Linked DNA regions of Arabidopsis thaliana. The protein of the gene in region 3 interacts with the protein of the main gene of each other region in a pairwise test. Each region holds a gene or a part of one and is shown on either strand. Other genes may lie near its edges. The genes, in order: AT1G61180, RBCS1A and RPT2b.

Evidence for each region.
Region 1: the proteins of RPT2b (region 3) and AT1G61180 interact in a two-hybrid assay, tested with the Arabidopsis thaliana proteins (one study listed by BioGRID).
Region 2: the proteins of RPT2b (region 3) and RBCS1A interact in a two-hybrid assay, tested with the Arabidopsis thaliana proteins (one study listed by BioGRID).

Annotation. Positions count from the first base shown.
Region 1 is NC_003070.9:22,545,103-22,557,353, forward strand, and holds AT1G61180 (LRR and NB-ARC domains-containing disease resistance protein), read left to right. Parts: upstream 1-6,168; 5' UTR 6,169-6,383; coding exon 6,384-9,083; 3' UTR 9,084-9,183; coding exon of another isoform or gene 9,184-9,228; 3' UTR 9,229-9,582; downstream 9,583-12,251. Other genes in the region: AT1G61160 (retrotransposon gag), read right to left, coding at 1-451, 1,090-1,118; AT1G61165 (uncharacterized protein), read left to right, coding at 3,034-3,141; AT1G61170 (uncharacterized protein), read left to right, coding at 4,616-5,371. UniProt on the Arabidopsis thaliana protein: Involved in disease resistance via the salicylic acid (SA) signaling pathway. Involved in shoot architecture development via the cytokinin signaling pathway.
Region 2 is NC_003070.9:25,044,002-25,053,973, forward strand, and holds RBCS1A (ribulose bisphosphate carboxylase small chain 1A), read right to left. Parts: upstream 5,667-9,972; 5' UTR 5,249-5,666; coding exon 5,078-5,248; intron 4,972-5,077; coding exon 4,837-4,971; intron 4,701-4,836; coding exon 4,464-4,700; 3' UTR 4,157-4,463; downstream 1-4,156. Other genes in the region: DIN9 (Mannose-6-phosphate isomerase, type I), read left to right, coding at 94-411; ABA4 (abscisic acid (aba)-deficient 4), read right to left, coding at 1,404-1,536, 1,622-1,710, 1,783-1,911, 1,992-2,092, 2,199-2,361, 2,633-2,680; LBD40 (LOB domain-containing protein 40), read left to right, coding at 9,800-9,972. UniProt on the Arabidopsis thaliana protein: RuBisCO catalyzes two reactions: the carboxylation of D-ribulose 1,5-bisphosphate, the primary event in carbon dioxide fixation, as well as the oxidative fragmentation of the pentose substrate.
Region 3 is NC_003071.7:8,688,046-8,699,223, reverse strand, and holds RPT2b (AAA-type ATPase family protein), read right to left. Parts: upstream 6,658-11,178; 5' UTR 6,489-6,657; coding exon 6,015-6,488; intron 5,935-6,014; coding exon 5,689-5,934; intron 5,287-5,688; coding exon 5,117-5,286; intron 5,013-5,116; coding exon 4,796-5,012; intron 4,705-4,795; coding exon 4,564-4,704; intron 4,471-4,563; coding exon 4,387-4,470; 3' UTR 4,113-4,386; downstream 1-4,112. Other genes in the region: AT2G20150 (uncharacterized protein), read right to left, coding at 744-1,012, 1,611-1,614; AT2G20142 (Toll-Interleukin-Resistance (TIR) domain family protein), read right to left, coding at 2,658-3,074, 3,172-3,244, 3,386-3,837; LCV1 (uncharacterized protein), read left to right, coding at 6,990-7,118, 7,467-7,519, 7,596-7,705, 7,788-7,955, 8,045-8,142, 8,284-8,410, 8,525-8,610; COV1 (CONTINUOUS VASCULAR RING protein (DUF502)), read left to right, coding at 9,903-10,061, 10,498-10,550, 10,645-10,754, 10,843-11,010, 11,100-11,178. UniProt on the Arabidopsis thaliana protein: The 26S protease is involved in the ATP-dependent degradation of ubiquitinated proteins. The regulatory (or ATPase) complex confers ATP dependency and substrate specificity to the 26S complex. Acts redundantly with RPT2A in the regulation of gametogenesis.

The DNA.
Region 1 (12,251 bases), on a different chromosome or scaffold from region 3:
ATTGCTTTGTCCGCAGTCAACATCTGCAAACTCCTCAGACACGAGCGGCACCTTTTCCTTGATGCTTCTAAGTTTGGCCTCTACCTTCTCAGCTTCATCAACTACATCTGACACATAATTAAGGATCCATCCGCAGTTCGCTGCACATACCCCTTCCTGCAACTCCTCGCGTAGCCCTTCCTGGAACAGACACGCCAGCTGCTCTTCCTCCAACTCTCTTCCGAGGTTCTTGACCTTCTTAAGGAACTCGTTATAATACTCACGCACTGTCTCTGTTCCTTGCTTCACCTCAAAGGCTTCCCAGCTCAAGGCAATGTTGACGTCAACCAGCTTAGACTCATCGAAGGCTCCGCGCTCAGAAGCTTCTCGGGGTGGCTGATCCTCCTCCCCAACTACCCCTGTGAGCTCAAAGTTTTTTGGTTCACCAGATGTCTTGATCGACCTGGTCTGCCTGCGGGTCAATAATTCATCGAGTTTTATACATTTAATAATTTGTTACAAAATATGAAAACAAGGATAGTTTTCAGTTAGAAAAACAATTTATTATCTTAGAAAATCATGACTATGCTAAATCTAATATATTTAAATAAAAAACTTTACATCAAAATTCTAACAAATTATCAAATATTATGGATTTGAGGGAGTATAAATTATCATTATAATTCAACAAAATTAAAACTGAATTTTGCGAAAACATAATTTATATGAAACTCGAGTATAAAAATGATGACTCGAAATGGATCAAATAGAATAAAGCAATCGTAATGTCGAATAGTGGAAAAGAGATTTATATCTTATTTTATTTTGTCTGAAAAAGATCTATCTTCACCTATTTTTATTGAACTTTAAATATTTTAAGCAAAAATAAAATTGATTCAATTTGATATAAAATGAGCAAAGACCTTTTGATCATGATCCTTTACAAGATTTTCATTTCATGCTTTATCATTACAGAAAAAAAAAATCTAACAAACTAATCTGAAAGCTAAAAGATTGAAAATAATATAGTTTCTTAATATATTTTATCAAAATCATTAATAGATATTGTGAAATAGATAATAGAAAATTGAGAATATCTAAGGAACTTACAAATTGATATTACTTCTTCCATTAGTCATTGTGGAGAATGAAGAAATAAAAAAAATGGGAAATGAAGCTCTTAAAGTGAGTCTAACCAAATGATGTACTTTTATTAACTCCCAAAATGGGATATCATTGATTTATGTTCTATAAATAAAAAATTAACCTGATTCATTTTTCTTATATAATAATTGATTAAGACATACGCTGGCAAAATTTTTTTTTTTTATGTCCGCTCGCAAATCAAAAAAATATGGAAATACAATAAATTTTAATTATAATAAATTAGCTTTTATTTTCTTTTCATAATTTCTAATAAATATCTCATATACCCAATTTACAGTATCGTATTTTGTATTAAATAAGTTTGAGTTAAAATTGAATCATTATGAAAATCTAATTAGAATATATATATATATATATATATATATATATATATATGTGTGTGTGTGTGTATGTATAGTACTGGTACATAATATTAATGTTTTGTAACAATTTCGGTTTCTAGTTTCTAAAATATGGTAAATTATCAAAATCGATTAATTATGATATTTTCACAATTATATTTTTCTAATATTGTAAATTTGTTCCCAAATTTTTTTTTTTTTAAAGTCCCAAAGATAGAAAGTTATTATTATAATTCCAAATTTAAAATAAATTTTAAATTTAATATGGAGATTGACTCTTGTAGTCTTTTGACTTGTTCATTAATATGTTCCCGAAATAGTTTTATATGGTATACAAAATTAAATAATTGTATAAAAGGTAAATCTAAATTTAAGTTACGTCAGATTTGATCTTTTATGTGATAGAGATGTGTTCCAAATAGTTCTTTTAATTGATTTGAACACTTTCTTTGGTACCAAAACAAGAAACATCATAGGGTTTGCGTACTCATTGGTATTAATGAAACTGACCCACACACATGTTTTTGGATCATCACTAATTTAACTGTCTCATAAGCTTTGTCACACACACACACACAGAGACTTATATAGTGATGCATTCATTGATATCATTCGGCATCATACCTGTTCTTTCATTCCATAAAGATAAAAAAAGGTAAAAGAGAAATGTGATTTTGTATTTGAGATTGATTTGTATGTAAGTATTTATGAGTGAGAGAAAATAGTGGATTCTATGCGTGTGGAGATAGTAGAAGAGGTCTCTACTCTACTATGTGTGCTTGCATTTCCTAGGAACACAAAATGGCCCACTGGCTCTGTCCCTTTGTTTCATAGAGACTAGAGAGTGTCCTCTTCTTTTTCACGTTATTGAGAATGATATAGTTTCATAGAGACTGAAGATTCCCTTTTGTTTCTCAACTCTTCGAGTTTTGATACTAAGCAAGCTTAACTGAATAAGGTGATTTGGATTTGATAATATCGGCTACGGTCACAAACTCCGAATAAATCTTGATCGACTTGCTTGAGAGAGGATTGATTCTTGGAATGGCAAATCTCACACAAATATATGAACTTGAAAATGGGTTTTGTTTGGCCAAAAAAAAAGGAAAAAAAGAAAATGGGTTTTGTTGGATGTGAGATAATTATCCCATTGTCTTGAATCTTGATTATCAATTGGAAATGGAAATGATTTTGTTTTTGGTTAGGAATTAATAGTCATTTGGGGGTTAGAAATTAATTGGCATGTGACATATACACAAAGAACCTACCATGTGAACATAACTAGAATCATTCAAACATGGGAGGACCCATACAATGTAAATCTTCAAGTCCTATCTTTTAATTTAAGAGGTTTATATCAACTTCATTTTTGTGTGACTTTGTGCTAACATCAAATTCTGTTTTGGGGAACATAACACAGATAAGGGTTTAGATATGTTCTTGTCTTCTCAATAAAACTGTTTGGATATCAATTGCTTTGATTGGAAACTGATTTTGTGGCGTTTATATCGATTTGCAAATAGTTGTGTACTCAAAAGGAGTCTCGATGTTGATGCTAGGAGACGATATAGCTTCATTCATCGCCTATCCCACTCCTGCACCCGGAGATTCCAACAGTCGAACTTCAAGTCCAAACTCCATTCAAGAATGTTAAAAAGTTTGATTTTTGCATTATATATGCTATTTTTTTGTGCTTTTTGCGTTATGCTATGTTTTGTGCTTCTGCGGTTAACTTTTTCTCTACCGTGTCTTGCAAACTGATTGCATCTTCATTGCCAAGATTTTTGTTATGAGAATTTTGTGTAAATATAATTAGAAGAAACCAAACTGCAAAAGCCTTGGCTCAAGTATATATGTATTTTACGATTTTTGCCAGATTTTCTTTTTGTTGAATTTCATTTTTCTTATCACAAAATAATTGATCGTTGAGAAGAATGTGTCTGTCAGTGAACTGTAGTGGTCATGAGTTTTCATGAATATGCTATTGTCGACCTGCCTAAGCCTAATCATCTTTAAGCCCGACCCAATAAGCAATAAATGGTAAAGTATATTGTACAATGTGGTTGTGATTGGTAACATACGTAACATGTGTTCAATCATAATATTACAGAAGACACCATGATGTGTCCCCGAGAAAGAAAAAAACTAGATCTAGTCGTAAGGTTCGTCTTATGTTTGTTCTTTTTGGTCAAATGATTCGTCTTATGTTATGATACGATTTTATTTTAGATCTCTGACATAACCTTTATTTCTGACCTTCATTATTATCATTGGTTTTTAAAGAAACATTCTCTCTTTTTTTTTCTTAAATCAGGTCCTCTAAAAACTCCAAATTGTACAGAACTAAACTATATATCATCTGCTTTTGTAGAGATTTATTTGTCAAAATTATTACCTGACAGCTTAAGGACATCCTGACAAAAAAAATGTTAAGTTCAATGATATATTTAAAGGAAATGAACTCTTTGTGGGCTTGTTTAGATCTCTAGCCATTTCCGTGCATGTGAGTCATGTGACTTTTTAGATCTTTCATTTAGACCTTTTTCAATGACATCTACAATATTTATCTTATAGATTTTGGATCCGATCAAATTTTGAAGGATGTAAATGGATCTCAGATAAAACTCACATTAGTTAAAAAAAATTTTTTTTTGTCAATTTCTACCTCTCAAGTCTCAACAACAAAATCCATTACATGATACATCATTTTTTTTTTTTGGTCGTAAGTACGTAACAGTGTAACACACCTCATGACTAAAAAGTTATCATAACTTTGAATGCGTAATATTTCTACGCATTCAAACGTTTTTAATATTCAAAAGTTTTTTTTAATTTTCTTGACTAAAAAGTTATCATAACTTTATTAACGTCATTATATCAAGAAAATTGAAAATTTGCATGGGGTTTAATCACAGACATAATTGCTGCTGAAATCATTATAAACTAAAGCTACTTTGGGGTAGTTGTTGTATAATTATTCTTTTTACTCATATTATCAACTGTCCCAAAATATTAACAATAAATACTCTCACTTCACAATCATCCTCTGCTGTCACCACACAACACAACCAAGGAGTACTACTCTCTAATCTCCGATCAAACGACGTCGTCTCTTCTCTCTCTCTCTAATGGGTAATTGCTGCGTCAGCTCCGGTACCACCGATCGGGAAAACGAGAACGTTTCCGACAAGAACACAACCATTGTCGAAGAAGAGACAGTAGTCAAAGAAGTCTTGTCAGAGACAACCTTGTTCACTCCTTCCTCTAGTTTCCGCACTTCGACGTTCAAAGACCCGGTGAAGACCAAGATCCGAGAAGATGAGGAGAAAAAACCCGGTTTCTTGAAAATGGCTTCAGACCCGGTTTTGATCCGACCCGGTTCGGTTGATCCTGAAGAAGGCTCTGAGGTTTCGGAGATTTGTAGCTTGAGTTTGAGCGAGAGTGTGTCTTCAACGGTTGTGATGAATGGTTACGATGAGGAACATGTGATGATGAAACAGAGGAAATCTCAGAGATCTCCGGCGAAAACTCGGACCCAGGTCACCGGTAATAATTATCCGACCCGGAGAACTGATCAATCTCCACGTAAGAGAAACAATGGTACATGTAATGGAGCGAGATACGGGTCGGGTGTGAGAGACCCGGGTGAGAGATCCGGAAGAAGGTCAAGATCGCCGGCGACGAATAGATCGGTGATGGATTCGAATCAGAGTAGTCGGGTGGGTGGGGCAAAGACTAGGAAGAATAATCAGTCTCCGGGTCGGGTTAGACTAGATCCGGCTAAAAACGGGTTGGATCAGCAACAGCATCAGAATTACGGTTATACCACAGAGGAATTGTTAGAGAACCCGCTTGTTTCGTTAGAGTGTTTCATATTTCTTTGAAAAAGAAGAATATTTCGATGGGAATAATGTCTTCTCATTTGACGTTGGATTCATAATTCGTAAAGCTACTTACTTAATTACGTTACCTCTGTAATTCATTTCTGTGTTGTATTTGCTGATTTAAAGTTATAATTCGGTTGAATGATGTAATGTTCGAGTAAACGAAAATTCAAGATTAGAAATGAATACATATGTATGTTTTAAACACCACGTAGAATAATATATATCCAAAATAAATACCACTCATTTATAAGTTCTTTAATTTTGGAAATTAGTAATTAATAATGTTCTTTAAAATCACAAAAAAATTACTTTCACGAAGACTCGAATCTGAAACATTGCAAGTGCTATTACCACAAGGTGAAGCTAGTATTACATTAGAATCGGGGTCAGACGAGAAATTATGTAATCACCGAATCAACAATCATTTGAATAATCATTCAAACGGTTACATGAAAATTATATTAAATTGAAAGTTCTCATCCTATTTGGGATCGTCACTAGCAGTGATAGGGGAACACATTATTTTTTTTGTCGTAAGAAAGTGGAACTCATAATTACACTAGTTTTGAATATTTTTCGTGTTTTGCAAAGAGAAAGATAATCCAAGACATAAATAATTAATTCAAAAGTTTGCTTTTCTAGATATGAACGTTGCTTTTGTTTATTTATTTATTTTACTTTAATTATATCTATTGAAAATTTCTCCAAAACAGGGCAAGTTTTTTTTTGGGGGGCAAACTCAATTGATTTATTCATAGTCAAAGCAAAGCAAAGATGACAAGTTATACAAACTTCATAATTTAACTATCGCTTTGATTGGTCCAAAAAAAAAAAAAAAAAACTATCGCTTGACTTCTCCTTTCCCAGATCTAGAGATTGTACTTAGCTCTTCTTCTCTCTTCTTCTTCTCATTCTCTTCGCTTGTAACCACAGAACTTTGCAGTGGTCTTGTTCCACTAATATTAGCCTCGTTTTTGCTTACTAAAAGTTTATCTCTATTCTCATCACCATGGGGAGTTGTTTTTCTCTTCAAGTTAGTGATCAAACACTGAATCGTATCTTTAATTGCTTAATTGGTAAAAGTTATATTCGAACCCTCGAGAAGAATCTCAGAGCTCTGCAGAGGGAAATGGAAGATCTCAGAGCAATTCAACATGAGGTACAAAACAAGGTAGCTAGAGACGAGGCACGCCATCAACGAAGGCTTGAAGCTGTCCAGGTATGGCTTGACCGTGTCAATAGCGTTGATATAGAGTGCAAAGATCTGCTAAGTGTTACTCCTGTTGAGCTTCAAAAGTTGTGTCTATGCGGTTTGTGTTCAAAATATGTATGTTCAAGCTACAAATATGGGAAAAAGGTATTCTTGTTACTGGAAGAGGTTAAGAAACTAAACTCGGAGGGAAATTTTGACGAGGTTTCTCAGCCGCCTCCAAGGTCTGAAGTTGAAGAGAGGCCTACTCAGCCTACGATTGGTCAGGAAGACATGCTCGAAAAGGCATGGAACCGCCTTATGGAAGATGGAGTCGGAATCATGGGTCTGCACGGTATGGGTGGTGTAGGCAAAACAACCCTTTTCAAGAAAATCCACAACAAGTTCGCTGAAATAGGTGGTACGTTTGACATTGTGATCTGGATCGTGGTGTCTAAAGGCGTAATGATTTCAAAGCTTCAAGAAGATATTGCAGAGAAACTACACCTTTGTGACGACCTGTGGAAGAACAAGAATGAAAGTGATAAGGCCACTGATATACACAGAGTTTTAAAGGGCAAGAGATTTGTTTTGATGCTAGATGATATATGGGAGAAAGTGGATTTAGAGGCCATTGGTATTCCCTATCCGAGTGAAGTAAATAAATGCAAAGTAGCATTCACGACACGTTCTCGGGAAGTTTGTGGGGAGATGGGGGATCATAAGCCGATGCAAGTCAACTGTTTGGAACCAGAGGATGCATGGGAGCTGTTCAAAAACAAGGTCGGAGACAACACATTAAGTAGTGATCCTGTTATTGTGGAGTTGGCAAGAGAGGTCGCTCAAAAATGTCGTGGTCTGCCATTGGCGCTCAACGTCATTGGTGAGACAATGTCATCTAAAACTATGGTACAAGAATGGGAGCATGCAATCCATGTTTTTAATACATCCGCTGCAGAGTTTTCTGACATGCAAAACAAAATTCTTCCGATTCTCAAGTACAGCTACGATAGCTTGGGGGATGAACATATCAAGTCGTGTTTCCTATATTGTGCTCTGTTTCCTGAAGATGGTGAGATATATAACGAAAAGTTGATAGACTACTGGATATGCGAAGGATTCATCGGAGAAGACCAAGTTATAAAAAGAGCGAGGAATAAGGGTTATGCGATGCTCGGTACCCTTACCCGTGCAAATTTGCTAACAAAGGTTGGTACATATTATTGTGTGATGCATGACGTGGTTCGTGAAATGGCTTTATGGATTGCTTCCGATTTTGGGAAACAGAAAGAGAATTTTGTTGTGCAAGCAGGAGTCGGGTTACATGAAATACCAAAAGTCAAGGATTGGGGAGCTGTAAGAAAGATGTCATTAATGGATAATGATATTGAAGAGATAACATGCGAGTCCAAGTGTTCTGAACTTACAACTTTGTTCCTTCAAAGTAATAAATTGAAGAATCTACCAGGTGCATTCATTCGGTATATGCAAAAGCTAGTTGTTTTGGATCTTTCATATAATCGTGACTTCAATAAACTTCCAGAGCAGATATCGGGGCTGGTCTCGTTGCAGTTTCTTGACTTGTCGAATACAAGTATAGAGCACATGCCTATTGGTCTCAAAGAGTTGAAAAAGCTAACTTTCCTGGATTTGACTTATACTGATCGACTTTGTAGTATCAGTGGGATATCAAGGTTGTTGAGTTTAAGATTGTTGAGACTGCTAGGGTCTAAAGTTCATGGAGATGCTAGCGTATTGAAGGAGCTGCAGCAATTGCAGAATCTACAAGAGCTAGCCATAACTGTATCCGCGGAGTTAATTAGTTTGGATCAAAGGTTGGCGAAGTTAATCTCTAATCTTTGTATTGAAGGGTTTCTTCAAAAGCCATTCGATTTATCATTCTTGGCGAGTATGGAGAATCTTAGTTCCCTACGGGTGGAAAATAGTTATTTCTCGGAGATAAAGTGCAGAGAAAGCGAGACAGAATCGTCTTATTTACGCATCAATCCGAAAATTCCATGCTTTACCAACCTCTCACGACTGGAGATAATGAAGTGCCATAGCATGAAGGATCTGACTTGGATATTGTTTGCTCCAAATCTTGTCGTGCTACTCATTGAAGATTCAAGAGAAGTGGGAGAAATAATAAACAAAGAGAAAGCAACCAATCTTACAAGTATTACACCATTTCTGAAACTAGAATGGTTGATTTTGTATAATTTGCCGAAGCTGGAGAGTATCTACTGGAGTCCTCTCCCCTTTCCGGTTTTGTTGACCATGGATGTTTCAAACTGTCCAAAGCTGAGAAAGCTTCCATTAAATGCTACAAGTGTTTCAAAAGTTGAAGAATTTGAAATACATATGTATCCTCCTCCAGAACAGGAAAATGAGCTTGAATGGGAGGACGATGATACCAAAAATCGATTCTTGCCTTCAATCAAACCGGTAATCATTTCTTTTAATCTCTTATGCTTGAGTTATTTGTATTTCTTGCTAATGTTTCTTTCAAGGTTAGCATGAGATATTGTCCTTCTGCAAAATGGATCACACAATAGAATATACTGTGCCTCTCAATTTCAATGCATTGTTACTAACATTGTTTCATTTTCTTCTTCTTTAGTACAAGTACTTCGTCTACCCAGGAATGAGTTTCCTCACTGTCTAAAATCAGAATTCACGCTTCTTCTTCTTCTATTGCTTTATCTATCTTCTTGTAGTGCTGCATTTGGATTGTATAATTGATTTGCATTCTGATACTTCTGGAATGTGTTGTTGTGTTGTTCACTTGGATTATGTTTTTCATTTTCCTTTTGTATTCCCTAAAACGTTTTGCATCCTGTTCAAACTACATTTTTACACAATCAAAAGTTTATGCGTTTAGGTAAAATCCATTTGTTGGTTTCTCTTTCACCTTGCAGTGTCTTTCTTCATCTGTTGGTTTCTTTTTCATGTTCCAGTTGTTAATGAAAAGATTTGATTTTGGTAAATCATGAAGATCTTGTACTCAGATTCTCTAGTGTCAATCCCTCAAACCTATTCTGAATATCTAAAATTGTGATATACTCCTAAGCTATGTGTTAAGATTTCAATATCGATACCTCCGATTCCTTAACCAAACCGGTACACACTAACACACCATACAAGAGAGAGACTAGCACATCACTAGCTCAGCTCTCAATACACCATACGAGAGAGACTAGCACATCACTAGCTCTGCTCTTAAGTCTCTCATACCATTCAACAACAAACAACATAAACCTCTCTAAACATTCAGAGCCATTATTTATACTCGAACTGAGTTTGTTCAAGATATTTTTAGATCCTAAAAATATCTTCTTCTTCAAGCAAGTTTCTTCTCACGTGCCTCCTCACTTGCACGTGTCTTCTTTTGCTTTCTCTCATTCACATTCTTCTTGATACATCAATCGTATCACTATGTCTAGTGTGGTGGCTTAATTTCTTAATTTTGTTGAGTGTTATGGTAAACTCTTAATCTTTTTTTTTGCATCTTCTCACTTTTGTCAAGAAGCATATCTCTCTTCACGTTCTCGTATAGCTTCCATCTGTTTATGATCTTTATAACTAGTTTTAAGACTTAGTTCGTTTTATGCGCTATCCCTTAAGCATCAAATGAAGGATTTGAATATTGCCTCCCCTCTCTTGTCTCGGAGAAGTTATCTACGAATCTCTTTGGAGCCAGCACGAAACCATCTAAAAACCAAATTTTGTGCTCTTTTTAAACATTCAAAACGATGAAAAGGTTACTAATAGATGTTGACTCTTTACTTTAAATCGTAGATTGCATGATCAAAGATTCACCACAGCCTTCTGTAAAAGTCGCTGAAAACTGAAACGTTTATTTTCTTGTACATTGTCTTAACAAAACCTTGAACATACCTGAAATTTCATAGTTATAACTTTTGTGCAAACCTCTAAACCCATTTACTAGTTGGGCCTTAAATACATTTGTGGCCCAAAAGCCCTTTTACACTTAAAACCAAAGTCTTCTTCTTCTCCCTCAATCTTTGACGCTTCGTCTTCTGACGTCTTCTCTTGTCAATCTTCTTCACTTTCCCATCTAGTCTCAATCTCTGGTTCCTCAATTCGAATTTAGATAATAATCATATTTTGATTCCAACGCAAATGCCAATCTATTCTTTTGACGGTAGAACATTCTGTTTTCAGATGACCAAATCCTTGACATCCATACCACTGTATGTTCAACTTCTCATCTTCTCTAGCTTCATTCCACACAATAAAGCTATTGGATATGCAAAAAGATTCATGAGGGTTTCCAATTAAACAATAACTCAAAATGAAGGTTTCGTTTTCTTCACTAGTCCCTTGAGTCATCAAATTCTTCATTGCCCTGGAGAAGTCTGGGAATCTCTCTATGAGCCGGCATCAATTTTTTCATTAATATAAATCTTGGTGTTCATTGTCTAAATCATTCACATCTTTGTCTTCAACAAAGTCTGTAAAATCTTCTTCCATCTTCTTTCTCTGATCCAGAATCACTAAAGACACTACTTCTGAAGCTTAGTGAAGGAGCTGCAGACCTTGGTCCTTTGGAGCATCATCTACTAGTTCTAACCATGACGATACCTACATAGTTAGGTTTGGATCAAACATTTCGGCGGTCAAAGGTTGGTGAACTGCATCACTTCTCTGCATATTCATGCTTTTCAAGAAAAGCTATTCAATACATCATCACTGGCTAGTATGGAGAATCTTCATCATCTCTATGTCGAAAGTAGTCATGTCTAGGAGATGTATATATTGCAGGAAAGCTAAATGGACTAGTCTAATTTAAACAATCCGACAATTCCATGCTTTACCAGTCGTCTCTCAGACGTGCTTATACCTGAGTGCATAAATGATCTGGCTTGGCTTCTGTTTGCCTTCAGATTAGATGTTCAGATTATGTGTCATCAATTTTTCAAAATTTAAAGAAAGATGTGTATTCTACTCTTCTAATGATCAAATCTCACAAAAAAAAAATCTTTTCTTTTCCTTTCAAACTATAAAATCAGTTCAGCTTAAAATAAGTATAGACATAGGATAGACATATATGGAGGAGAAACCTTAAAATAAGTTCAGCTTCTTTAGATATTAATAAGTAATTAGGTAGATGGGGTGTTAGGGATATTCCCAGCAGAGAGGTTATACCTCTCAATTTCATTCAGTTCCACAATTGTCAAGTTTTTTTTTTGCTTCTTCTTCTTATTCTTTAGTGATGTGGGTTAGTCATAAGTTGTTCACTGGCTAAAAGCAGAGTCCATGGCTTCTTTTTATGTTGTTCTCTCTTTCTTCTTGTAATTTGTGATATCTTCATTTGGATTTCTTTTTCACTACTTTTCTTTTGCATTTTTTTCTTTCTCCAGTGTGTTGTTCACTTGGATTATGTTTTTCATCATTTCCGTATCGTATTACTTCAAAGTTAAAACGGATTGAATTAATCCTTTTCAAACTACATATTTTTACACAATCAACAGTGTATGCTTTTTGGTCTTCGTAATTTAGAGGTCAGTTCTATTTTCAATTTATTTAGTTACAAGACTTGATATCAGAGCGACAAAGGACTTACATAGTTCTACCACTTTGCTGTGGGATGGTAAAAGATACTAGTCTAATAGTCTACACGAAAATGAAAGATTTGTCATTTTGAAAAGTCATTAGATGCCATAT
Region 2 (9,972 bases), on a different chromosome or scaffold from region 3:
TCTTTACACGTTAACAAACTGGTTTAGTTGGTAAACCGATTGTTTTTTCTTCTTTGTCCGGTTTATTGATAAAACGTACCGGATTTGGTTCAGGGTTACCCGGAGATTCTGAAAGGATTTCCTCTGACTCCTTACGTTACAAGGTATCTTCCTCCATTTGATGAGTTTGAAGTGGATCATTGTGATCTTCCTAGAGGAAAATCGACGGTTTTTCCGGCAGTACCAGGTCCTTCGGTTTATTTGGTTATTGAAGGAAAAGGGCAATTGCGAACCGGTTCATCTAAAGTTTTGGTAAACCGAGGAGATGTTTTGTTTGTTCCGGCTGATATTGAGATTCACGTAACTGGAGAAAGTGATGTGATGAAGCTTTACAGAGCTGGAGTCAGCAGCAGATTCTTCCAAACATTGTAGGCTAAAGTTTAAGTATATTAAATTTACTAATTACTATATACTATATATATTTATAAGCAATCATAGGGACCAATTCTCCAAAGTGTTAGGAAATGTGTTCTTTAAATCCTTGATGGCCCATTGCAAATTCAAGGAGTTGTCATTTTCCTATATTTAATTTTGATTTAAACGAACTATATATGTAAAATGATTGTAAAACCATGTTATCCTAATTTAAAATATATTTGAGATGAAATTAGGATAAAATATCTTTGATCACGTGTGTTAATTGATGAAATTTCTGAGCAGTCTTCGAGCCTCGATATATGACTAAGTCATTGTCGAGGGAAGCTTTAAGTTTACTAAGTACTAACAGATAGTTGTGATGGCTGTTTCCTCCTCCACCTAGTTAGAGGAGAAGTTGTTAATTTTCTTTCTAGTGGGGAAAACTAATTTGGATTTGGTTTTTGATAACTTAATTTGGATTTGGGCCATTTATATTAATTTATGAGGTTTATATTGGGCTTGAGACCAAAGATAGAGTTGGCCTAAAAATGTGAAGGTTTCATGCTTTTTGGTAAGTCTGCCTCATACCTAGCATTACATTTCCATCGATGCATATTCTTGAATATGTGTTGTGTAACTTGTGTTGATTGATTGGTGTACGGAGCACTTGATCTGCTGATGAGGTCATGACACACCACTCAACTAAAGGGCTCGAGTCGTAGTAGTGTTGTCACATCAAAACGGATTTATTAAACGTTTGACAAATTTAGTGAACCTAAATCTGTAGTTTAGTAAAATATTTGAAGAGGAGGTTTTCAAGTTGCAAATTTCTGCAAAAACCTCATGAGGTAAACTTATTGACAAAAGATGAAAACTTGTCTCGAGTTGTTTGGTCTCATTGATACTGTCAACAACTTAACCCATTACAGCTAATTTAACATGAGCAAAAGCATAATGAAGCATCATTCCAAATCTTTATAGGCATTTAAGAAACCAAGATCATCAGCTTATTTGTACTGGTTGTTGATTATAGCTTTGGTTACGAAATGCGAAACGATTCCAACCGGACAGAAGAGAAGGCAAAGTGAAACCGAATGCCTCGTCTCGATCTGGTTCTCTAACCCATCATTATAAACTTGCCTGCAGAGTAAACCCAAAACACGCTTTATAAGAAACATGTAGGATAATTTCAGAACCCATTGAGAAGAAGAGAAGTGTAATATACCGTGCAGCGAAAAGATCTACAACAAGAAGATGAATCCAAGCAGAAGCAAGAGTCATTTCACTTGAGAACATTTTAGCTATTCCAGACAACTGCAGATGAAAAAACTAACTTTAGAAACTGCAATGATACAAATATTGTGGATGGTTAAGGGAAAGCAAAACCTCTGGCAACATGTATTTACTAGAAAACATGTATTTGAGCGTCTCGGGTGTCCAAGAAATGTATAACAAATACACATATAATACGCCTAAGATGATATACGGTACGCTACTCTCCATACACTTCTTGGTCTGCACAAAGAAACATACTCAATTTTGATCAACTTCATTAGGTCATCAAGTTGTAAAACTTGCAACAAAATTAAACTTACAATTTCAGCTTTTGGTGCTACAACCATTAGAGTATAGAAGGGTAAAACCGCGGTAGTTCCAACCGCAAATACACTGCTTGCAATCTGAGTAGTAGTTAACCCTACAACATGAACATATAAGAGATTCTAATCACACATATAATCTTAGATCAAAGTCACAAAATGAGTGACAAAGTTTAATCTTTAAATGGTTATGAGACACAGTACATGAAGCTCGTACACCGGAGAATTTCTTGTGAACTACGGTGTAAGAATTGGACTGAACAGAGATTCTTGATCCTCCAATGAAGCTCCAACGATGATCTAATCTAATCTTTGAAGAATCAAGACAAAGTTCCGATCTTTTAGCAGAAACGTTGCGTTTCATCACCTGAATTCACCAACAAAGAAAGAAAGATTCTTCTTTTACTTCATAGAAATTCAGAAACTTTCATACAAAAACTCACAACAATCAAGAACAGAGATTCTGTAACAGTGACTCAGAAAGAATAAAGTCAACTCAAAAACCCATTAAATTCTTCAATTCTAGTCAAAAGATAAAAAGACTTTAAGGTTATCCATAACTATAGTTTAACTCAACACAGAATCTAATCCAACAACTGTACATATATGTATAGTGAAATTAAAGAAGAAGAAGATACCGAGAGAGATGAAGACAAAGGCTGAGAAATGAAAGAAGAAAAACCCATCTCTGATTCAAATCTTCACCACTAATTGCCAAAAATTGATCTTTCATCACCTTCTTCAACAAACTCTCTGCATATATATAATGGGAATGGTTGCGAGATTTCCACTGGATAAAAAAAAACGAAAGTGGAAGGGAAAAAAGTTGTCTTTCACTCTTTCTTTGCTCAGTGTCGACAATTATATACAACACTTTTTGCTCATCCTTCCATCTTTATAAAGTTTTCATCTTTTTTACTTCAATATTTGTTTAAACTTTGAATTCCGGTTTAGTTTATTATAATTATTTGGATTTTGTTTGTTTATTTAATTAACTTCTAATTTAATATGGATCAATTAGTAGATTTAAGTAACATTTTTGGTTTACTTCAATCAATGATATATTTTTACTATTACCATATAAGTTTTTATTAAACCAATTATACATAAAAAAAAAAGTTCAATACAATTCAATATAAAATTTTGAATATATTGATAAAAAGTTAAATATATATATTTTATTTTTGTGTGAAAAAAGTTATATGTGTATGTTAATGGAGATTTAAGTGAATTTAGGTGGACAAGACACAAGTCTAGTTTCAGGAAAGAAAAAGACAATGGTTAGTGTTTCCCCCCATTAATTCGGTTGTTTACTTTTATTACATTTATATATTTTTAGTTTTATATTCACAACCTGGTTATTGCATTAAGAATTGACTGAAAAAAAGATTTAAAAAATACGTTAGGACAAGAAAAAGATAGACATGTGGCTAATACTCATTGTTGGAGAAATTGGATGGAGTAGGAAGATAACTTGGGTGGGCTATTTGGTATGATAACTTATTTGCTTTGGTATTAATGGGCCTTTTGACCCACCCACTTTGTTTTTTTGCTTTATCACTCCCACCTAATTTGTTTATTTAACAAAAAAACAACACATGAAAACAAAAACAAATTGTGAAAAAAAGAAAAAAAAGACAAATCTTTGGTATCTCCTATCTTTCAATCTTTCTGTGGTATTTGAGCATTTCGATGTTTTCGATGGTGACCAAAACCTTTTGGTAAACAATATGTATAATTCTTGAGATTAAATGGTACAAAAATTATTAAAAAGGGGTAAAAATCGTTTAAAATATTTCAAAACTTTACACTATATCAGTAACTAATTAGGAAAAAATTAAAAAAAAAAATGAAAGAAAATTTTGAGTTTTTACGACCCACACATAGCTTATCCTATTTCGAAAGTACCTAAACAAACGACTCCAAAATATCTTTATGTGAATTTGGGTCAAGTCCCTTTGATTGAGGAAATATATGATCCACAAGATCCTTGAATATACTTGGTAAAAATGAATATTCGAGACTCTTATCCAGAATCCTATCCTAAACAAGGCACGTCCACTTATGTATCCATCACTAGATTTCAAGTGGGTCATCTTTTGCTTCAAGATATTGTTACTCTAAACCTCTCAAGCTCGTTAATCATGTGACAAGAATTGAATGTGAAACTAATTTTCTTAATGATTTCTTTAGCGACTCATGGTTCTTAAACTTGTAAATTTCATATTTGTAGCCGCATTGTCCTATTTTCTTTTTGTTGATATGCATATCAAATTGAAAGACTTATAGAACATTACATATTTATTTCATCAGACAGTTGAGAATCCGATAGAATATGTCTCGCAAACCGGAAAACAAACGTTAAGTCCGGAAATTAAAACCCAAGAAAGAAGAAAAAAGCAGAAAAACAAGGGATAAAATCAAAGATGGGGGATAAAGTTTTGAGGTTTACACAAAAGCAAAGGGAAATTAACCGGTGAAGCTTGGTGGCTTGTAGGCAATGAAACTGATGCACTGGACTTGACGGGTGTTGTCGAATCCGATGATCCTAATGAAGGCATTGGGGTACTCCTTCTTGCACTCTTCCACTTCCTTCAACACTTGAGCGGAGTCGGTGCAACCGAACAAGGGAAGCTTCCACATTGTCCAGTACCGTCCATCATAGTATCCGGGTGAGTTACCGTGCTCACGGTACACAAATCCGTGCTATACAAACCACATGTTACAAACCACTCAGATAACATTTTGAACATGTTTATATAAATCAAGATCCTAATATATTAAACCAAATTTTCCTAAGATCTAGCTAGTTTATATAGATGTTTAAATTTTGTTTAATTACCTCCAACTCGAATTCAACACAAGGAATCCACTTGTTGCGGATAAGGTAGTCAACTTCCTTAGCCAATTCGGAATCGGTAAGGTCAGGAAGGTAAGAGAGAGTCTCAAACTTCTTCTTTCCAATCGGAGGCCACACCTATTTTTTCGATTTTTCCAATGATATTAGTTTATGTAGATTCGAAGAAAGAACCGAAAAAAATCATATGGAATAATAAAAAAGTGAAAGAAGAAATATAAATGACCTGCATGCAGTTAACTCTTCCGCCGTTGCTTGTGATGGAAGTAATGTCGTTGTTAGCCTTGCGGGTGGCTGGGAAGGCAGCGGAGGACTTAAGTCCGTTGAAAGGAGCGACCATAGTGGCCTGAGCCGGAGAGGCAACCATAGTAGCGGAAGAGAGCATAGAGGAAGCCATTGTTCTTCTTTACTCTTTGTGTGACTGAGGTTTGGTCTAGTGCTTTGGTCATCTATATATAATGATAACAACAATGAGAACAAGCTTTGGAGTGATCGGAGGGTCTAGGATACATGAGATTCAAGTGGACTAGGATCTACACCGTTGGATTTTGAGTGTGGATATGTGTGAGGTTAATTTTACTTGGTAACGGCCACAAAGGCCTAAGGAGAGGTGTTGAGACCCTTATCGGCTTGAACCGCTGGAATAATGCCACGTGGAAGATAATTCCATGAATCTTATCGTTATCTATGAGTGAAATTGTGTGATGGTGGAGTGGTGCTTGCTCATTTTACTTGCCTGGTGGACTTGGCCCTTTCCTTATGGGGAATTTATATTTTACTTACTATAGAGCTTTCATACCTTTTTTTTACCTTGGATTTAGTTAATATATAATGGTATGATTCATGAATAAAAATGGGAAATTTTTGAATTTGTACTGCTAAATGCATAAGATTAGGTGAAACTGTGGAATATATATTTTTTTCATTTAAAAGCAAAATTTGCCTTTTACTAGAATTATAAATATAGAAAAATATATAACATTCAAATAAAAATGAAAATAAGAACTTTCAAAAAACAGAACTATGTTTAATGTGTAAAGATTAGTCGCACATCAAGTCATCTGTTACAATATGTTACAACAAGTCATAAGCCCAACAAAGTTAGCACGTCTAAATAAACTAAAGAGTCCACGAAAATATTACAAATCATAAGCCCAACAAAGTTATTGATCAAAAAAAAAAAACGCCCAACAAAGCTAAACAAAGTCCAAAAAAAACTTCTCAAGTCTCCATCTTCCTTTATGAACATTGAAAACTATACACAAAACAAGTCAGATAAATCTCTTTCTGGGCCTGTCTTCCCAACCTCCTACATCACTTCCCTATCGGATTGAATGTTTTACTTGTACCTTTTCCGTTGCAATGATATTGATAGTATGTTTGTGAAAACTAATAGGGTTAACAATCGAAGTCATGGAATATGGATTTGGTCCAAGATTTTCCGAGAGCTTTCTAGTAGAAAGCCCATCACCAGAAATTTACTAGTAAAATAAATCACCAATTAGGTTTCTTATTATGTGCCAAATTCAATATAATTATAGAGGATATTTCAAATGAAAACGTATGAATGTTATTAGTAAATGGTCAGGTAAGACATTAAAAAAATCCTACGTCAGATATTCAACTTTAAAAATTCGATCAGTGTGGAATTGTACAAAAATTTGGGATCTACTATATATATATAATGCTTTACAACACTTGGATTTTTTTTTGGAGGCTGGAATTTTTAATCTACATATTTGTTTTGGCCATGCACCAACTCATTGTTTAGTGTAATACTTTGATTTTGTCAAATATATGTGTTCGTGTATATTTGTATAAGAATTTCTTTGACCATATACACACACACATATATATATATATATATATATTATATATCATGCACTTTTAATTGAAAAAATAATATATATATATATAGTGCATTTTTTCTAACAACCATATATGTTGCGATTGATCTGCAAAAATACTGCTAGAGTAATGAAAAATATAATCTATTGCTGAAATTATCTCAGATGTTAAGATTTTCTTAAAGTAAATTCTTTCAAATTTTAGCTAAAAGTCTTGTAATAACTAAAGAATAATACACAATCTCGACCACGGAAAAAAAACACATAATAAATTTGAATTCTGACAGTGAACTCTACTTTTGAATTCTAATTATAGAGTGAAGAATCTTGATAGATGAAAGCCATAAACATGTTTGTCGAAACTAGAAAGTACCCACATATCATAATAAGATGTTTCTAATTCCACTTTGAGACTCAGTCAAACAGTTAATATCTTGGACAATAAGAATTTGTTGACCAATAATCCTATATTACAAGAAGCCTTCTATTATTTTAATCAAAACATTGAAGCTCAAGCTCCTCGTAAGGTAAAGAGCCCACAAAATTCCGAAAACCATGGAAAACGCGAGTCCCTGGGTTTGCATTATATTTTCTATATTTGTTTTTCTTTTCTCCTAAAATTATGGAAGTGATTGGAAGATACAAGAGGTTTTGTCCAAACAATTTAAACTCGACGACTAAAAACGTAGGATGACGCGATACACACGCGCGGCCATATGCATGCAAACCCCTATATTTCTTTTTAAAGTTTTTGGCTCTTTCCACATTTTTAAAAATAAAAATATTTTTGGACATTTTTGCATGGCATCTTCACCTATCTCTCCTCCATTTGTCTTTCTTTTTTCAGTTCAGTGTATCATCAACAAGAGTTCACAAACTTTTATTTTTTACACATTCATGGCTTGTTTCTAGTTCTAGATTTGGATTTTTCTAGCTTCACTTTTGATAGAATTCGGGGGAAATAGAAATTGTTAAACCAAAAGGAAGAGTTAACGTTCGATTCTGTATCAGATAAATCTCTATAAAGGATTATATCATTGTATTATTCCAGCTAGCACATATCCATTTTCGTATTTGTCAATTAAGAGAATTTGTATTTATTTGTTTATTATAAGACGACAATAAGAAAGACGACAAAAAATTTTATTCGTATGCTTATATTTTGTATGCATCTATTTTTCTACCTCTTACCTATGCATTTTTATTTTAATGAATTATCATATCTGTTTGTCAATCACTTCTATAGCAATATGATAATTTGGTTGAAACTGTATTTATCCATACGTCTATCTAAACATGTATATATACCATTTGAATTTTTCAAAAACATAATATATATACATATAGGAATTAGGTTATTGACTTATTGTTTATCTTACAATATGTTAAGTTATTTGATATAGAAAATTATTGTACAACTTTATACAGGTCTTCTAAATTACCTGAAACGACAACAAATTTATTTCATACTAGTATATATCATATAGCATATATAGCTTTCACATTCGTCTGTAACTGGTCTTTCAGAAAAATTGACTCTATAGAGTCTACTAGCTATAGTTATGATTGTTCGCATGATTATATTATTAGTTAAAGTGGAGACAATCGTATTAATCGTGTGATAGCCGGCAGAAGAAAAAATAAATCGTTTTATCCGTTAAAATTATATATATTTTGTTTTACTGTATTTTTCTAGTTTTTAACTAAGTTTTATCTTTATATAAATAATTATAAATGTTTATATAATGTTTGATATACTTAAATAAATATTTTATCTAAACTTTGTTTGCGATTTGACATTTTTAACATTTTTGATAGATATTTATATATTTTCTATAATTTTAATTTTTAACTGTTTCTAAACCTTAATAATAATTAATAGATTGTGTGTGCGTTTTTTTCTTTATTTTATTAAAGAAGTAATAGAAATAATTCAAACATCACCATTCAATGATGGGTGTTTCAATGGAAGAAACTACCAAATCTAACCAATAAACGTTGGCATCTATTCACCTAAAAGTAAAAATTGTAGAGCCTATATTAGTCAAAGTGATCCATGCAGATAATTTATTAGTAGGTCTTTCGATATTAATGTTGATATATACTAGAGCCTATAGAAGTCAAAGTGATTCCATTAAGATAATTTATTAAGTAGGTATTTGGATATTAATATTAATTATCAGAATTATGTATGGAGCTACATAATGTGTAACCGCTCAGAAAACGCGGCGATTCGACCAAACTCTGTTACCACAATGTCTCCGCCACGCGATCACACTTTTGCGCTTGCATGCGAACGTTGAAATTCGAACCTCTCATCTCTCTATTTACCATTTTACCCTCTAGTAATTTCGTTTTCAAAATTTACTATCTCCAAATATTTTGGCAGTCCATTATTAATTGCCGAACATTAAACTGCGGTCTAGACAAAAACAAACGGCGGTCAGATATAAACAACTAACCAAAAAAATAAAATACTTGACTGGTTTTGGACATTTTCGTCGATGATGATCACGCGCTACGAATGAGAGCCAAAGACAAAGCTCAACGGGCTTCCATATATATTTCATATTTATTAGTAACTATTTTCCCCAAAAAAAAAAATATATATTATTAGTAACTACAAACAAACAAACAAAATGTATAAACCATGAAAATTAAAGATTTTAAAATTTTATAACTATACAAATAGTATGAGAAGCTTTGTTTATTTTTATAAACACATAATAACAGTTTGAAAAAATTACTTACCTAAATAAAGGTAATATTCTCGTAATTTACTAAAATAATTCATACAAAATATAAAAACAATTACAAAACTCTTCTTTTTTGGGCTCTTTACATCTTATTTATACTTTGAAAATTACGATATCCATTTAGAGAAAAATATAACATGCACGTCACAAATTTATTTATTTTTTGAAAAAAATTACACACAAAGAAAACGACAACTTCGTTCCTTGTTAATTGTTATGATCTCTCCGACCAAACCCAAGCAGCTTCTCCCTCTTAAATACCTCTTCCTTCTTCTAAGATCTCTGGACCATTCTGTACTTTCCCTCAAACCCAAAACACATTTTGTTTTTTGTTTCCCATCTAAAATGCGTATGAGTTGTAACGGATGTCGAGTTCTACGAAAAGGCTGCAGTGAAAACTGTAGCATAAGACCTTGTCTTCAATGGATCAAATCCGCTGAATCTCAAGCCAACGCCACCGTCTTCCTCGCCAAGTTTTATGGCCGTGCGGGGCTCATGAACCTCCTCAACACCGGTCC
Region 3 (11,178 bases):
AGTTCTTATTATGATTATCCTTAAAAAGATGGTATTCTCGGTCCATCCGTGGTTGTGATCACTAGCTTTCAAAGTATTTACTCTATACGGTTGCACCATGACACCAAGTCTTCACAAAACATGGGTGGCATGGTTCAAACTTCTTTTCTTGCATGGCTCTCTCAACAACTTCTGGATTATGAAACAGCGGCCAACCTATACTTGGCTGGCAAACAAGCTGCTAAAAATCAGAGAGGATGCTTTTCATTGGATAAAATTGCGAGTGGGTAATGGTCAAACCTGCAGATTTTGTCAGATAATTGGTCTCCTTTTGACAGGCTATCGAATTTCCTAAGGGACTAGAGACTGGGAATAAGGAAAGATGCCACTCTATTTCAACTCCATGAGTAGGGACTTTGGGCAATACCTCATCCGAGAACCGATCAGCAGGTCTCCCTACACATCTTTCTAACTACTTTATCTTTCTCAGATAATGCTGACTATTTTGGATGGGAAGTGCAAGGCAAAATCCACAATCGTTACTCTACTGGGCTTGTTTATCATCTCTTCCTTGAGGACTCTCCTCTTGTTCCTTGGCGTGCTGCGGTGTGGATATACAGAGGTATTCCTAAGCATAGTTTCCTTACTTGGTTACTAGTTCTGAACCAGTGTCCTACTCGAGACCGTATACTTGGCTGGGGCCTTCACACAGATCCAGTTTGCATGCTCTGTAACACCTCTCCTGAAAGCCTTGATCACCTTTTCTACCAGTGCAATCTGTCTTGGATAGTTTGGTCATCAATTGCTTTGAGAACCCCAAATCCAACCTCTCCGCTCATGGTCTGCCTCTGTCTCCCAGATGCAAGCCCTTCAAGGTCCAAAAGATAGGAGAAGAGTTTGTCTTCTAGCTTGGCAATGCTCTCCGGCACTTCCTCTAGGGTGAACGAAACAATCCGCTCCATCGTAATACTTTCAGATCTGCGGATACTCTGCTTCGCCTGATTGACTGTACTATCCGCAACAGAATCACCACCTACAGAGACCATTACCCTCGTTTGGCTTCATCGATGCATCAGCTTTGGTTCTCAACTTCATAATCTTCATCAGATGACTCTCACTATTCCATCGGCTAGACTACCCTATAGTCTAGGTTCAACTCTAAGATCTTTTCTCAATGTGTGTTTCTAATTGTTAACTGAGCTGTGCTCTTTCTATTTGGGTTTCGACCTATTAAACACTAAAGCCGGACTGGGATTTTGTAATCTCTTGTTTCTTATGTATTTAAATAGAAAGACATGAGTTATATAACTAGATACAGATTACCCTAATGCAGTTGGCTCAATCGTTACAGGAGTGTTGTTTTAATTAATGCAACTGGACTTGAGTTCGAGTATTATGTGCTTCATATGGGAAATGATGATTTAGACTATTTAACTCCCCACAAGTATTACCAAAAGTTGGTTATGAGCCTACAAAGATTATGACCAATTCCAAATTATAACTTCTTGCTTTTTTTAGTGTAATGTTAAATTTTATTATCATTTTTCATATTTTCTGTTGCATATTAATCAACTAAACTTGAACAGAAAGACGACAAACAGAAAAAATTAAACAAAAGAAATCTTACGCACTCATCTAGTAAGCCAATGTGTTCTCCGACTAACAGTGCCAAATGGCAACATATTCTCACAGTCACAAACAAAACAAAGATAATCATAAGGAGCAAAATAAATAAATAAAATTATAAGTACATGTAGGGTGTTAATTAAGGTCTTACCTATATGAACATAAGTGTTTCTTACATGATGATGGTTCACACCGAGGCAGTTCTCGTCTTGGGATGCTGGATACTTAAACCCTAAAGATTTCAAACGTTGAATTTGTATAAGATCTTCAAGTGTAGTTCTTGTAATAATCACATTTTTAAGTGGTCAACTTATGTCCTCATCTTGTCGAAGTGGCAGAGAACTTGATTTTTGAGAAGTGTTGTAATCTCTTGTCCATTAGTTAGGTCTAGTTGTAGGCTTCAACGGCATATGATAATTTAATACATTAGGACAAAACAAAAGAGAGAATCTTGAATAGCTTTTACTTGTAACACAAAATAAATTTTACCCGAATTTAGAAGACCATGGATTTAAAAGGCAACACAAAATAATTTAGGTATTTTTATTTCAATTTTAAACTTACAGGTATTAAACGGCCAAATAAAAAATAAATCGCGGTTTTAAGACTTTTTTTGAGCAAAGGATGATCAAAGGCTAGCTGCTTTTCAATGTTGATGCAGTCCAATATGTAACCATGTTTCGTCTGTCAAAATACAAAGCAAATAAGTATATTAATGTGGTCTAAGAATATGTTATTTTGATTCCAAAGTGAGGTTAAAAGTTGTGGCTATTCGGTCTTTAAAAAATAAACAAATCTAAAGTGTTGCAAAAACATCTTTGGTTCTAAGCAATTGTAGCCTAGTTTTAAACATCAAATTTAAACAGGTAAAACAAAAATGAAAGAGAATTATTGAAATATGAGTTTTTTAGTTCTTTCCTATCATTTTATATGTTTAACGTAAAACTTAAAATAGTAAAACTGATTTTTTTTGTTAAAACAGAAGAGAGAACAAATTATAACAAAGTAAGTGTATCTATATATAGTATGCAACAAGTAAATAATGGAAATAGTTATCTAAATCTTTTAATCAACAAAGTGCAAAGTAAACCTAGCGCAAACATGATTGGCCAAACCGAGAATTTGATGGGAGTATCATCTCTACGTGTGATGAATGAATAGTTAACGGCAGTGATAGTTGTTTGGCACAAGGCACAAACCAAGCCTAGCATCTCTGGAAAACTACCAAATCTGTTTGATCTTTGAGTTTGATAGTGAAACCAAGGAATGGGCCAAGTCCACTTCCACACAACTCTGTCAACTCTGCCTTTGTGTAAGAGATCTACAATGCAAAGTAGACATGATAACAATGACATTGACATTGCAGCCAATGCATATAAAGGTTTATGTGCAGAGGAGATCTGGTCGAAAACAGAAGAAGGTATCTCCAACATGAGGTTGGTGATGACTAAAGACCACTCAATCATAACCTGCTTATAAGAAGAAAAAAACAGAATTTATCGCCAACAAATTTGTTAGTAAAAAAACGTAGCTAAGACTTTAAAAATGGTTTTTGATCTAAAAGACCTTCGTTCTTGAGGCTCTTAGCAGTTTGTTCTCGATTTCCCGAGCTATTCCATTCACCAACATCTCCTCATCACTGGGAATATAAGCATAAGCAAAAGCACACTATTTACAAGTAGAGAAAGCAGTGATCATAATATTAATCCCAGAGATTAAAACATCTTGTAGCTCACTTACGACGGTAACTTTAATAGAAAGTATGAGTTTGGGGTTATACCTCAAATAAGCAGTACTCCATCCAGGGAGGTTAATGGCTTCTGTAAAACTATCTTTCCATTCTTGAAGCTGTTCGGCTTTATCCCGTCGCTTAGCAAAGGCATCTCCAAAACTTCCTGTCTGATTTTCAATGTCGAGAGGATCAACATGGTAAAGGACAGGTATCACAATCTGACCAAACTTTTCTTTGCATTTCAAGATGGCTACAACTTCATCTAAACACCATCTCGAATCCCCAAAGTTTTCCGAGAACACAATGACTGAAATTTTCGATACTTCAATTGCTTTTAACGACTCTTCATACCTCTCGTCAGCTGGTAGTTCGTCATACAAGAAGGTTTTGATCCGTTTCCTACGTAGACAGCCACAGAGATGGCTTACGAAGTTGTCACGAGTGTCTTTGCTCCTGAAACTTATGAACACATCGTGTTTCATTTTAGGACTTGAATTCATTTCCTTATTTTTGTCATACCACTTTCCTTTCTTCTGTTTTCATCTTTATAGTTCTTTATAACTTTCTTTGCAATTTCCTAGAAATTATTATCTTTACTAAAGTACAAAAACACACGACTTCAATCCTCTTTTTCTATTGCAATTTTGAAACTTTCTTCGTAGTTTCTTGGAAGTGTATGTATTTTATATTTGATTCAGACAGCCTGTCGACAAATATCGACAGCTACTTATGTTGACTTTAAATATCTCCAAGCTTCAGAAATAAGTTCAAACAATAATGTAAAATAACCCACATAAGCTTAGACTTGGAAATTGGACTATATATTCGTAACCGCAAAGTAAAAATGATGGAAATTTCAAATGAATAAATCTATGAGGTTGTTCTGAAGAAAGCAAACTAATAAATTGCTAATTTGGAAGCAGATTAATAATGGGCAAACGATTTTATATGATCAGAAAAAAAAATCTAAGCAGAGAGTGAAAACAGAAAAACGGAGAAAAAGAGAGCAAACTCGAAAAAAGAGATTGAAACCAGTCGTTGTGCATCATTCACATGTAAAGACCTTCAGGAACTCCTTCTTTCTTCTTGAACATAACCTTCTCCTTCGCCTTCTTGAAGTCCACATGCGTCACCTAAACCAATAGAAGACCAAACAAAGGTTAAAGTAAAATTATTCAAAGATTGCGTTCGATGAATCAAGTGGTGAGAAGCCAGAGAATCCTTACTTTCATCCGACGCTCTCTAAGAGCAAGCAGACCAGCTTCTGTGCATATTGCCTTTATATCAGCTCCTGAGAACTCGTCTTTTGTCATTACAAACTCTTCTAAGTTCACATCTTCAGCCAAAGTCATCTTTGATGTGTGTATCTAATAATGGCATGCAATTAAAAACCGATCAGATCTTTCTAGAAAATTCACAAAAAAAGAAAGAAAACTTAAGGATCACCAGTTGTGGAACCTGGAAGATACGTCTTCTTGTTTTGATATCTGGAAGAGGGAATTCGATTTTCCTGTCGATCCGGCCTGGTCTAAGAAGTGCCGGGTCAAGACTCTCGATCCTGTTTGTCGCGAGAATAACCTTAACATCTCCTCTTGAATCAAACCCATCAAGCTGGTTCAGTAGTTCCAACATGGTTCTTTGGATTTCACGTTCCCCACCTGAGTTTGCGTCATACCTGTTTCAACCACCATTTTATATCACATATTAGATACCATCTCTTGAGCAAAATCAAGAACATTGTTTATCAATGGATCATGTTTATGTTGTATTTAGGCATACCGCTTGGTGCCAACAGCATCAATCTCGTCTATGAAAACAATAGAAGGAGAAAGGTCATCAGCAACCCTGAAAAGTTCCCTCACAAGCTTGGGACCATCTCCTAAATACTTCTGAATCAGTTCACTACCGACAACACGCAAGAAAGTAGCTGAAGTAGAATTTGCCACTGCCTGAAAGAATAACAAGAAATAACACTTGCTCATCTCCAACAGTTCCGAATTTAACAAGCATAAGAGACACATTAAAAAGAGGCACACTGCAACAATCCATGCTTGCGACATAGACAAAAAGAAAACGAAGACATTAAATCAATCCACGTGACTCTGAAAATCTTCCTCTATCTACACAAGTACTATGATCTAATATCTCAATTCTAGGTGATCAAACCAAAGAAGCCACTGTCCTGACTAATTCATCTTTCTAGTGAAGATTGATAAAAGACAGAAAATTTTGCATGCATGACTTGACATAAAACCAATCATACTTGGGAAGTACCATTATGTGCTGTATTAAGCAATTAACAACTAGAAAGCTTATTATATAATGGATACACTATAGGCTAAAAGACGAACCTTAGCAAGCAATGTCTTCCCAGTGCCTGGCTCACCATACAAGATCACACCTTTTGGTGGCTTAATTCCAATATCTTCATACAGCTCGGGATGTGTTAAAGGTAACTCAACAGCTTCCTTAATCTCCTGAATCTGAGCTTCTAAACCTCCAATGTCAGCATATGACTCCAAAGGAGCCTTCTCCACTTTCATCACAGACACCATTGGATCCACTTCATCTTGAAGAATCCCAACAACAGAGAGTACCTATCACAAAAATAATAAAAAATATCACATAGAAGAATTGGTTCAACGTTTCCATGGAAGAGCATTGTAAAACTCAATACCTTGTTATGCATCAAAATAGAGCAGCCAGGTTCAAGCTGATCCTTATCAACGAAAGACAAAATGCCAACGTAGTACTCAGGACCAACCGAAGAAGAAACAATGGCGTGATTCTCATCAATAAGCTCTTCAAGATTGCCAACACTCATAGGTGTACCACGAAGATCATCAACTTTAGATCTATCTTCCTCAGCTTTCTCTTCCTGAGGTTTCAATCTCTCCTGATTCGCTACGAACTCTTCCTCCATAAGCAAATAGTCCTTGATTCGCTCCAATTTCAGCAATCGAAGCTTACATTTAGTAGAAGGAGTCACCGTCGGCAATCTCGCCGCCGCTTCAGGTCCTTTCTGCTTCCGTTGCTTCCTCCCTACACGAGCAGGTGGTGCGGCTGGTTCGAACTTCTTCTCCTTCTTCTCTCCACCATCTGGTTTCCGATCTCCTTGCCGATTCAATCCGCCGGAAGGTCCTTGACCCATTGTGCTTCGTCTCTCTGAGGTTTCTTGCTCTCGGAGAAACAAATCTTTTAATCTGATAACGGGAGGAGATGATTAAAGTGGGCTTATTATTTTAGGCCTTTTTACGATGTGAAAAACTTAGTGGGCCTTAGGTATCGCAAATTTTTTTAAAACTGATTCAACCTAAGCTATTATCTGGTTTAGTTCAATAACTCGGTTTAATTATCTTTAATTTCGGTTTAAGTTTTGTAAAAGTCAATTCGTTGGTTTGGTAGTTGGTACGGTCAATCGGTACAGGTAAGGAACTTTTCTTTTGCCATTTGGGGAAATCGAATCAAAAATCAATTTCATCGTCTTCTCTATCTGTCATTCATCATCATCACAATCATCATCATCAAATCTCAGGATCTTCGAGGTGGTTCTTCTGTTTCGCAACTAGCTTCTAGATTGTGATTTACAATCTTCGAACTCTCGGTGAGTTTCTAGGTTTAGGGTTTTATCTCTCTTTACACGACAATTGTTATGGCCAATCGAGAAAGAGATCGAGAGCTTCTGATTCCCGTCGCTGATTTCGGCGACAAAGACGATGGTTCTTCTTCGAAGCCTTCTTCTTCTTCCTCTGCTTCTTCTTCGCATCAATCCGGCCACGAGGTCTAGTTTTTGTCACCTGATCTAAAAACGTGTTCTTCGTTTTCTCATTTCAAGATTCATGCGAAACTAACAGTAGAATTGGATGATAGTTATTCATAGATTTGGTCGATTCTGTCTCCCCTTAGTTCAAAATCTTGGAACTTGTTTTGCCCTAGATTCAGTATATCACAAGAACACTTGCTTAGATAAGTTTGGTAGTTGTGATTGAGTAGAGTATGAATTTGCATTCCAAGTTGTTGTGGTTGGAATCATTCAGATTCTTGAGTCTTTGTATTATGCTCATTCATGTTTTCAAGCATGTATAACTTATAGAGCATTGTGGCCTGATGCTTTAGCTCTTTTCTGCAGACTTTAAGCTTGTTCATTAGGGGTTGGGCGTCAAAGAAGTTCATGACAGGCTGGTAAGGAAGAGTTGAAATTTTGGCATTTGATGAAAACTTCCACAGATTAGTTTTAAGTCTCCATTGCTTTTTGCAGTGTTATCCTACTTCCTATTGCAGTTACTTTCTATACAACATGGTGGTTTATTCACTTTGTCGATGGATTCTTCTCTCCAATATATGCACTACTTGGAATCAACATATTTGGTAAGAATTTGAATGGCCCCTCTTTATCCTATTAACAACTTGATATCGGTTTCCCACAATGAGTTTGATTATTGTTTTGTAGGTTTCGGTTTTTTGACTTCCATTGCATTCATCTTCTTGGTTGGGGTGTTCATGTCTTCGTGGTTGGGGGCATCGGTTCTGAACTTGGGAGAGTGGTTTATCAAGCGGATGCCATTTGTTCGTCACATCTACAACGCCTCCAAGCAAATCAGCACTGCCATATCGCCTGGTCTAGCTTGCTTATAAAAATCTTGTTTTGCTTCTCAACATTAAGTTGATCTCCTATCTCATCTTGTTCTTATCCATTTCTCATCACAGATCAAAATACACAAGCTTTCAAGGAAGTTGCAATCATCAGGCATCCCCGTGTAGGTGAATATGCATTTGGCTTCATTACATCAACTGTTGTTCTCCAGGTGAGTGAAAATACTTTGCTCAAGGATTTTGTTATTCTTTCCAGAACGTCTCCTTGAGGATACAAACAATTTCGAGTTATATGGTTTACCATAATTTCGTAATCTTTTTACCCAATGTAATAATGCTATTCGTTCTTGCAGAACTACCCAACCGAGGAGGAACTTTGCTGTGTATACGTTCCCACGAACCACCTTTACATTGGAGATATACTACTTGTCAACAGTAATGACGTTATCAGGCCAAACCTCTCTGTCCGGGAAGGAATTGGTGAGATTTCAGAATCTAATTGTCTATACTAGATACATTTATCGTTTGTTATATAGCATTCAAATTATTTTGTGGAAAGATACTGAACACTGTATACTCATTCTTCATCTGCAGAGATTGTTGTTTCCGGGGGAATGTCAATGCCGCAGATTCTATCGACTCTTGATAAACCTTTGGCCTCGATTGGAAATGAATCTTAAAGTGACTATTCAAAAACCTTTGGCCGATCGATAGGAAAAAATAAAAAATCAGAAGAGACGTTTCACAAAATCTGAGCGAATAGAGAAACCAAAAAACACAGAAAAATTTGTCGAGAAGTGTAATTTGTCAATATTATTTGAATAACCTTGTTTTCTTTTAGCCCTTTTAAAAATAATTTTTTTTCTTTTCTTATAGATTATAATTTGTATCCGCGTCCTTGTGTCTTTCATATTACTGTCGCATTGACTTTATAACAAAAAGATAATCAAAGATAATCCCACCCTAATAATAATCACATGACAAATGGCAATATCGTTTTACATATTAGGGAATAGTATAAAATGTGGTATATATAGAGAGACATTGTTGATCGAAGAAAAAAATGGTCTAACATTTCTCTGTCTAGCTCTTCTTTTGATCTCAGGTACGTTTTGTTTCCAACATGTTACTAATTCTTATGGTGAAATAAAATACTGCAGCTAAAAATGTATCGACCAAAATTTTCTTAGAGGAGGATTGTGCTTAGCACCTGACCTAATTATGAATCTTCATTTCTCTGCCTTTGTAAACTTTAATTTATTTTAGAACTTTATCTCATATAGAAATCTCAAATATATATATATTATAGTTTTTGCTTAACTTTTATATTTAAAATAAATCTGAAAGTTGTAAGAAAATTATTTTCCATATCAGATTTAACATTGGGTGCAGTCTTGGGAAAATATATAATCGTTAGAATAATTTTCTCTTTTAATGTGATAATTCGAAGACGTATGTAACAAACAAAAATGACAATAATAAATATTACAGTATAAATCATTTAAAACATATACTATAATTAGTTATTTTTTGCTTAAATATGATGGAATTGTTTTGATATTGCTTAAGAATCAAAAATGTTTTACTCTAGATAATAAAATATTTATTGTAAAGTTTATTTTTACGATGAATGTATATGATTTCAAGTAGAACAAATAAATTTTTGATATATTAATTCACAACAATAAAATTAATCTTTTCATCTTTTGAAAATAATTTGTATACAGTAATTTGAAACAAAAATTAATCATGTTATAATTAAGAAAAGGATAAATAAAAGAAGACAGATATAAAAAGAAAAATCCAAAAACGACAGAGAGCTCAAGTTGGAGTTAGCTAAGCTTAGCTACAAAAGAACAGTCGCCGGCAAAAGTCTCAGCCTTTTTCCTCTCCGCCGTTCACAGTTCACCGGCATTTCTCTCTTCTTTCTTTTTCTCCGACTAGATTTCCTTGTCTCTTTGGTTTCTTGGCGATGGGAGACGAGAAGCCGGTGATTGTTATGGCCAATCGAGAAAGAGATCGAGAGCTTCTGATTCCCGTCGCTGATTCCGGCGACAAAGACGACGGTTCTTCTTCGAAGCCTTCTTCTTCTTCCTCTGCTTCTTCTTCTTCGCATCAATCCAGCCACGAGGTCTAGTTTTTGTCACCTGATCTAAAAATCTTGTTCTTCGTTTTCTCATTTCAAGATTCATGCGCAATTAACAGTTGAATTGGATTGGTTTTAAGCTCTTAGGTCTTTTCAAGATTTAGTCTTCAGAGATTTGGCCCATTCTGAGAAACCCCTTAGTGCAAAATCTTGGAACATGGTTTAGCCCTAGATTCAGTATATTACAAGAACACTTGCTTAGATAAGTTTGGTAGTGTGTTAACACTGATCTTAATTCTTAAGATGCTTATAGAAATTTGACCTTTCCTCACTGAGTAGAGTATTAATTTGCATTAGATCTTAAGTGTTTTTATTGGGATCTGTCAGATTCTTGAGTCTCTATGTCATGCTAATTCATGTTTTCAAGCATATATAACACATAGGAGCATTGTGATCTGATGCTTTATCTATTTTTCTGCAGACTTTAAGCTTGTTCATTAGGGGCTGGGCGTCAAAGAAGTTCATGACAGGCTGGTAAGGAAGAGTTTACTGAAATTTTGGCTTGATGAAACTTGTCACATATTCAAGATTTGTGCTGATAGTTTCAAATCTCAATTGCTTTTTGTAGTGTTATCCTACTTCCTATTGCAATTACTTTCTATATAACATGGTGGTTTATTCACTTTGTCGATGGATTCTTCTCTCCAATATATGCACAACTTGGAATCAACGTATTTGGTAAGAATTTGAGTGGCCCTTCTTTATCGAATGAACAATTTGATATCGTTCCGTTTCCCACAATAAGTTTGATTATGGTTTTTTGTAGGTTTCGGTTTTTTGACTTCCATTGCATTCATCTTCTTGGTTGGGGTGTTCATGTCTTCGTGGTTGGGGGCATCGGTTCTGAACTTGGGAGAGTGGTTTATCAAGCGGATGCCGTTTGTTCGTCACATCTACAACGCCTCCAAGCAAATCAGCACTGCCATATCGCCTGGTCTAGCTTGCTTATAAAAATCTTGTTTTGCTTCTCAACATTAAGTTGATCTCCTATCTCATCTTGTTCTTATCCATTTCTCATCACAGATCAAAATACACAAGCTTTCAAGGAAGTTGCAATCATCAGGCATCCCCGTGTAGGTGAATACGCATTTGGCTTCATTAC